Linked DNA regions of Bombyx mori. The protein of the gene in region 1 interacts with the protein of each later gene in a pairwise test. Links are inferred from orthologs where the notes say so. Each region holds a gene or a part of one and is shown on either strand. Other genes may lie near its edges. The genes, in order: histone acetyltransferase Tip60 and RING finger and CHY zinc finger domain-containing protein 1.

Region 1 (4,419 bases):
GAAGGTATTTGGTCAGGGTGATCATTGAGTTCCAGTAGATCCAAACACAGACTATAAAGAATGTGGACAGTTCTGCTCCTAACATTTTACCCGCAGTCTTCAGTCTACTCGTGATCAAGGCGCTTGCAACAGGACATACCTATCGGGAACTCATTAGGTAAATGTTCATTCTTGGTAAGAACACGTTAAATAATAATGTGTATAAAACAAGGTTAGTTTTTCCTTTGAAGTTAACTGAGTTAGCCTACGATCTCGACAGGGCTACCCAATCCACGGGCTACGGCTCACAGCCCAGCTAAACGTGCTTATTCCCACCTCTCCTGGCTGAACCTTTGCTCGCCCACGTGTCCTGGTGAAACTGGATAGACTTCCAACAGCTATTTCTCAAACATAAAAAAACGATTTTTGTTATTGGTGTCTATGGAGCGAGGAGTTAATGGAGCGAAAAGTCTATCTATAACTTATCCAAAGTTGCTCTCGACAACATCTTCAGAACAAAATAAAATAAAATTTGCTTCTAACACATGTTCATAAGCAACTTCTGCGTTAAAAGAATGACAACGTGTAAAAAATTAAATGGAACCCGCGAAAAGTTTACAAATGTAATTATTTCCTCTAGCGGGGTTCACCACAGACTGCTAGACAAAATTATTAGGGTTTTAATACTGCCTAGTAGAAAGCCTAGACTTTCTCCACGTGCCCATGTCGCCAATGACAACATCTATAAGCCATTCGAGACACTCTGATCTTCGATCACGCGATTGAAGGGTTCCATTACTCTATGGCTTAATTTCTATCTTATTCGTGTGTATTAAGATTTTTTGAGAATCAAATAAGATTTGATTCTCAAAAAATCATGTAATCCAGTTTTAGCGCACGAGGAAATTAACAAAACCTGCTTTTACTCAACAACCCAACGGCGCATCTCTTCTCGGTGCCTCACATCACGGCTCATCAGTTTGACGTTTGTCAAGACGACCAGCGGTTCTCTAATCCCTCCCGCTTGGATAGGGCCGTTAATACTCCCGAGATACTCCGCTAGGTCAAAACCAGCAAAACAGAATCACTTCTTTTACACAATGAGTAGTTCAACCTTTTGAGCCGAATGCGATACAAATGATCCAAAGCAAAGTAAGGAATTAGTGAATTGATATAATTTCATTTCGTTCCATTACACTTTTTACATTGCTATTATATATTTGTGTTCCGGTAACTATTTGAGACAAGGTAAGCTGTGACTCACGAGCACATTCGCCCATATATGCATTACGAAATAGCTAAAAAAACATATCAATGATTGGTATCTGCAGATTTACGTAAGCGCTAAATAATACATAATCGGTAGACGCTTGAACTCTCAATATTTATTACATTTCAATTTTCGTTACCTACTAGACTAATCACTTATGAATAATATTCCCTTTGCCTATTTAATGTCAGATTGACTGCAATCTGATTACTTTGATATTGACAGCAATGACAGCTAAGCATTCAAAGCAAATAGCTATTTTTGTGAAAAAATAATATTATTATTTTAAAATGAACGAAAATGATGATGAATTGACAACATTTTGTGATTCAACGGTGATTTCCGCTTATTTAGAATATATATGTGATATAATACCGTGAGATTAATTTATCATCTTTTTGTTTTAGTCATCGCTTGTTGAGGGATGCCGTCTTCCTGTTCGTATGCAAGGAGGAGACGACTGGCCACTCGCCGAAATTATAAGTATTAAAGAAGTTCAGGGCCAAAGAGGATTTTACGTGCATTATGTTGATTGTGAGTAAATAATGAACGGGTATGTTTGTTATTCATTTTGGAAAAATTGTGTGTAACATTGATAAGAAATTGACTGTGATGCTAGATTAGCAGCTAATTACCTATATCTATAAGCTTTAGTTTTGTTATATATATGGGAAATTTCTAAAATAAAGCTACTTACCTATGTTGAGACATTTTATAAATTTATAACTAATGTGAGCTTGTTATCATATGTGTAATTGATAAACAATCTAGTAGATTGAACTTAAAGGATACTTAAAAATGTTCTACAAAGGCACATGTCTAATTGAGATCTTAATTTAAAAAACCAAAGGGTGGTAAATGGACTAAAATCCAATTTAGTAGCAGAAAAAGCAAAGAACACTTGTGATAGGGTGTCTTGTAAGCTTGCATACGTATGTACTAACAGAATAAAAAGATTTTCTCCTGTTTTTCATGAAGTGCTTAATTTTTTTGAAATTAGACTTAAACATAAAAAATTTTTCAGTTAATAAACGTCTCGATGAATGGGTGGGTGAATCTTGGTTGGACACTCGTAAAGTCCAATTCCCTCGACGGGATGGAACAGCAACAGGTGGTACAACTACTCCAAAGAAAACACTCATTGGATCAGGAGGTGGCGTTATGCCTACTTTTATTAGTATGTGTCTTTGTTTTTAGAGCTTAATTAATTGTTATGGTCATTTCACTTAATTTTAAACAATTCAAAGTTCAACTTCACAGATAAAGAATGGGATTTGGTAATAAATTGCATGATTTATATTACTCTACTATTACTCTCTACTATTACTTGCTATTTTTCCTCCACCCGACAGTTCATGTTGGACTGGATAAAAGCAGTAAAACAAATAGAGTCCAAACTTTAATGTGTTATAATTCTAGCTTTAGTTGATGTTGTCTTGAATGCTATAATTAATATAGTAGAATATATTTGTACTTTTATTTTGTTACTGTATGATTCTTTGTTTTGCCCAGTACAATGTCTCGTGCCAAGTGTAGGTTAGTTTGTGTTACCAAACATCCATGATCAACCAATTGGCAATAAAAACAAAATTTTGTCTGCAGATGACACAGTCTGCAATGAGAATCAGAAGTCTAGTAATGCTAGAACTATAACAAATCAACTGACCCAACCCAAAACACATGAAAAGGCCCATTTTAGCAATGCACTCAATGGTTCCGCACAAAAAAATGCACTTGGTAATGTACCATAATAATTTATTTTGTGTAATATGCTTTTATTTAGGTAGATATGTCATGCTTTTATTCTTAAAACAATAAATTTATTTTTTGTACTTTTAAACAGTAGCAGTAGTAGCTACTGGTATGTATAATGTGAGCATCATTGATGTTATTCCAAATGATTGTTTAGTTACCAACATATTATTCAACATGTCAACAGCTTAGTAGCCATCAAGTTGTAAGCTTAGAAATAATAATAGTTTCTTGTTCCCTTATAAGCACGTTTGAAGCTCAGTTGTGAGAACCAGTAATACCATAGTCCATATATTGAATATGAATATTTTCTGTCATGGTAATATTTGATTAACATATAATGATCATGTTAGTAATTATTACCAATTAATGTGACAACTAAGCAATTTAGTATTTTCTTCGGTTTTCGCCAGTCGTAAATATAATTAAGGCTACTTTTATACCTTAATGTCTTAACTGTGTATGACGAGTCATCCGTGACATAGAAAACAGTAAATTATTCATAACTACAGTAAAAAACGACAGATTATACTTTAAAAATAGCAATTATAATGAAGCAATTGTTTAATTTTGGCGTTTATTTATTGAAAGAAATATTGTAATTCTATTGACGTGAAGCCCTATTAATGTGAAATGCTGCAGTATTGTGTCAAATCACTCTTAATTTAAAATACTACATTCCCGGTTTTCTGCACAGCTGTGGTTGAACCAAGACAGTTGGTGTCCCGACCCGCCAGTCCGACTCTGGTAAATGATTCTTCGTCACTGGTCAATGGAGGAGCTGTCCTCGCAGCAGCCTTACAGAAAAAGATGAACAGAAAACGCAAACCGCCCTCTTTGGATAATGACGTAAAATATCAATATTAATATTTTTTATTTATTTATTGCTTAGATGGGTGGACGAGCTCACAGCCCACCTGGTGTTAAGTGGTTACTGAAGCCAATAGACATCTACAACGTAAATGCGCCACCCACCTTGAAATATAAGTTCTAAGATCTCAGTATAGTTACAATGGCTGCACCACCCTACAAATTATAATTTTGCGGGTTTCACTTTTATTACACGATGTTATTCCTCCATCGTGGAAGTCAATCGTGAACATTTGTTGAGTACGAATTATCATCAGAAAAATTGGTACCCGCCTGCGGGATTCGAACACAGGTGCATCGCTCAACACGAATGCACCGGACGTCTTATAACCTTTAGGCCACGACGACTTCTTTGTCTATGTCTAGTCGTTGTAGGTCTTATGTCCTGTCAAAGAGGTTGCACGCCACGACACTATCAGAGGTAATGTTTGTCTCATATAGGTCAGTTTACATTCGGAGCCGTCACAAGAAGGTGAAGCGGACGCGACGGCCAGCGGCACGGCGACGCCGACGGCGCGCCCGCGACAGTCCGGCAGTCTGGTCGCGCA
Region 2 (3,534 bases), on another chromosome or scaffold:
TGAAGATAAGAAACAGTATCACTGCGACGGATGCGGCATATGTCGTGTAGGAGGCCGCGATAGGTTCTTCCATTGTGAACGCTGCAACATGTGCCTGCCTGTTCAGCTGCAAAGGGTCGGACATAGGGTGAGTCAATTGAAAACTAATCTGAGTGCAGTAATCCTCCAAAAATCCATTAACAGTGCTTTTAGGTCCCACAAGCACCAATCACCGCCCTCGCCGAACCCGTCTTGCGACGAAGGGCTCGACGAGCGAATTAACCCATAGACACAGCCCAGTGAGTTTCTCGCCGGATCTTCTCAGTGGGTCGCGTTTCCGATCTGGCGGTAGATTCTGCGAAGCACAGCTCTTGCAAGGGTCAGTGTCAGCAACACTCCAGTTTGAGCCCCATGACCTCACCTACATGTTAGCAAAGCTGAAATAACCTCTTAAGGCTATCAGTATAGGTAAGAAAAAAAAAGCAGTAGTCCCTAAAGTATTTGTCTGATATTCATTCTGATGTAATGACAGGATTGTCAAAACAAAATTTAGATGTTTAAAATTGGCTGTCTCTCTATAGCAAGGACTCCCAAACTTATTTTGTCTACTGCCCACTTTGAGAATAAATTATTTTTTGGCGCCCCCATTTTTTCACCTACTTAAAAACGAAAAAATACTTTATCTGTCAGCACTCATCATCAAGTGGGCCGTGTGCTCGTCTGCCTACAAATAATTACGTTTCCCGCGTCCATATTCCATACTATACAGGCTCTCTGCTTATAACCGAAGTTACAAGACACGCCCCCAAAAAATATGTGTTTTTTATAACAACATTTTTACAACACATCAATACATAGATCCTATTAGTGCCTTAAGTCCTTTCTATTAATAATACGAGCGCGATTCAGAAAATGAGCAACGCCATCTATTGATAATATTATTAAAACGGTTGCATGTATTTTGGGCGCGCATTTCTCTACACATCCCTATCCCTACTAATATATAAATGTGAATGTAAGTTTGTTTGTTACGCTTTTACGCGAAAACTACTCAACCGATCATCATGAAACTTTGTACACATATTCTTGGAGGTATTAGAAGTAACATAGGATACTTTTTATTAAGATAAATTAAAAAATTGTTTGTCAAAAAATCTGAAAATCTAACTTCTTCAACGCCACCTACAAAAATTTTATATTTACTCAGTACTAAGTACTAATAAACGAAGTTTTATCATTTAAAATTCAGATTATTAGTAATATTCTCATTCTTTATAAATCTGCTTTAAAATATAGAATATCGTAGCTATCCGAACAAAGTTATTTCAGCTTCTCAAACCGGAAATGTTGCTAACACTGGCCCAAGCAAGAGCAGTACTTCGATGGATCAGTAGGATCCGTAATGACGTATTTAGGGCCGATTTTTGTAGTTTACCTGAATATTTGACAGACTTAGATTTAGCTGCCTTTGATTTTATAAGCCTCACTTCTTCTCTATATTCTCTATAAGTGTGGAAAATTTCATATTCCTCCGTCCGCGCAATTTTCGTAAAAAGGGATACAAAGTTTTTGCTTCACGTATTAATATATAGATTATAATATCTTGCACTGCACCAAAATTCGTATGTCAAATAATGACCAAGCATACACGTTGCTTTTAACTTATGTAATAACTCATTTTCTATATGCTTAGCGAATAAATGTTTTCTTTCTTTCTTTTTTTCATTCTTTCTTTACTATGTCCCGCAGTGCGTAGAGAACGTGTCCCGTTCGAACTGCCCCGTGTGCCTGGAGGACATCCACACGTCCCGCATCCCGTGCCACATCCCGGACTGCGGCCACCTGCTGCACCGGCCCTGCTTCGAGCAGCTGCTGCACTCCGGCCACTACGCGTGCCCCACGTGCCAGACGAGCATGATCGACATGTCGAATGTGAGTTTCATCCGGGTCTAGTCGGTGTCAGTCCTCTTGTCTATTGTCCTGAAGCTCCAGCTAATGGCAATGTCATTAAACTAAAGGCTCTTTGATCTCTCTGTCTCTCTCTTCGTGTAGGTGAATGTTGGTAGGACACATGCTACTTGCCATATGCATCAATGTTGAATGTGTGACTAGTGTCCCCGATGCCAACAATTTTACATTCTAAATTATTAAGGATGGATGTTGGGAAATAATCATCTTATTATTATAGAATAGGGATCGCAGCGCATAAAATAAAATTTCTACTGTCCCAAAATCTTGTGTTATAATAATAATTAAAAATTAATTAACACTTATTATGTCTTCGCCATCTTCCTTTTTCTCTGTTATTCTGTGTGTCATTCTCTTTTCCCTTTCTTTCCGTTTTCTCTCACTTAAATCACATCTTAACGCTCCGTTCCACGCTCTTTTCATACGTTCCGTTCTTAATAATCCTACATTATTATTAGCATGTCCGGATAGGTATCAGGCGCTCTAAGAAAGTACTTAAGGTGAAGTTGTTTTGTTGCAGCTCTGGAATTATCTGGATTCCGAAGTAGCGGCCACACCGATGCCGTCCGAATACGCCGACTACAAGGCCACGATACTGTGCAAGGATTGTCATAAGGTGATAAATAGTATGATATGGAATAAGGCCTGAGGCCTGGAAGAATTAAAGTCAAAGAATCTTTAACCCGTCACAGTAATTAAATTTCTTTGAAAGGTTAATGTAGGTTTAGTCCTTTTTTTTAATAATACTACTAGCAGACAGAAGAAAAAAGGATTTAAAAAATTAATGCAGGCTTATAAAAAAAATTACAGTCTGAATTCCTAATATCACCCTGTGACAGCAGCGCGTATTGTGAGAAAGAGAGAGAGAGTATTATTTATTGTACGCCAAAAAACAAATAAACAGTGCGATACATTAAACACAAAAAAAGTACAATTGGCGATCTTCTCTTCCAGACAACCATCATTGTGCTTAATGCTAGTTTTTTCAACTTCTCGATCGCGTAAAAGCTAACTCAAATTTGTATGGAGTTGGAACAGCGCCTCTAGCGGCAAACGAAGCACTAAGCACACTGAATGTAACGCGTCATAGTTCCATTTCTCCAACATGAAAGACGAAAGTATCGCACCGTACAGCCTAATTTTTTGTACATTCTATTAAATGATACATGATACGTAACATGGAGCCAAAAATAATAGAAATGAAATGAGGTGAAGTTGATTTATTTGAGACTGATCAAAAAAATCTTCTTCAAACGAGGCTTGCGGAGAGTACTTAATTGTAGGCAGCGGCTTGGCTCTGCCCCTGACATTGCTGACGTCCATGAGCGACGGTGACCACTTACCATCAGGCTGTATGACCGTCTGCCTACAAAGGCAATAAAAAAGGGATTGAATTAAATGAAACAAGATGAGATTGGGTGAAATAAAGTCTCACTAATATGGTGGTTATTTACTGAGAATTCAGTGATATTTTAGCAAGAACCCGAGAAGTTACGTCCAGCTACTTTCAATGACCCACGACGATTAATAAGCTGACGTTGTTACACGATATTAATCCAAAAAATAACACTAAATTAACAAAACAAA

The links.
Region 2: the proteins of histone acetyltransferase Tip60 (region 1) and RING finger and CHY zinc finger domain-containing protein 1 interact in a two-hybrid assay, tested with the Homo sapiens proteins (2 studies listed by BioGRID). The link is inferred for Bombyx mori from reciprocal best matches to the Homo sapiens genes KAT5 and RCHY1.

What each region holds. Positions count from the first base shown.
Region 1 is NC_085124.1:9,217,314-9,221,732, forward strand, and holds the start of histone acetyltransferase Tip60, read left to right. Parts: upstream 1-1,451; 5' UTR 1,452-1,539; coding exon 1,540-1,584; intron 1,585-1,656; coding exon 1,657-1,783; intron 1,784-2,273; coding exon 2,274-2,426; intron 2,427-2,851; coding exon 2,852-2,986; intron 2,987-3,698; coding exon 3,699-3,850; intron 3,851-4,312; coding exon 4,313-4,419. UniProt on the Homo sapiens protein: Catalytic subunit of the NuA4 histone acetyltransferase complex, a multiprotein complex involved in transcriptional activation of select genes principally by acetylation of nucleosomal histones H2A and H4.
Region 2 is NC_085125.1:12,756,775-12,760,308, forward strand, and holds part of RING finger and CHY zinc finger domain-containing protein 1, read left to right. Parts: coding exon 1-127; intron 128-1,728; coding exon 1,729-1,911; intron 1,912-2,467; coding exon 2,468-2,563; intron 2,564-3,534. UniProt on the Homo sapiens protein: E3 ubiquitin-protein ligase that mediates ubiquitination of target proteins, including p53/TP53, TP73, HDAC1 and CDKN1B. Mediates ubiquitination and degradation of p53/TP53; preferentially acts on tetrameric p53/TP53.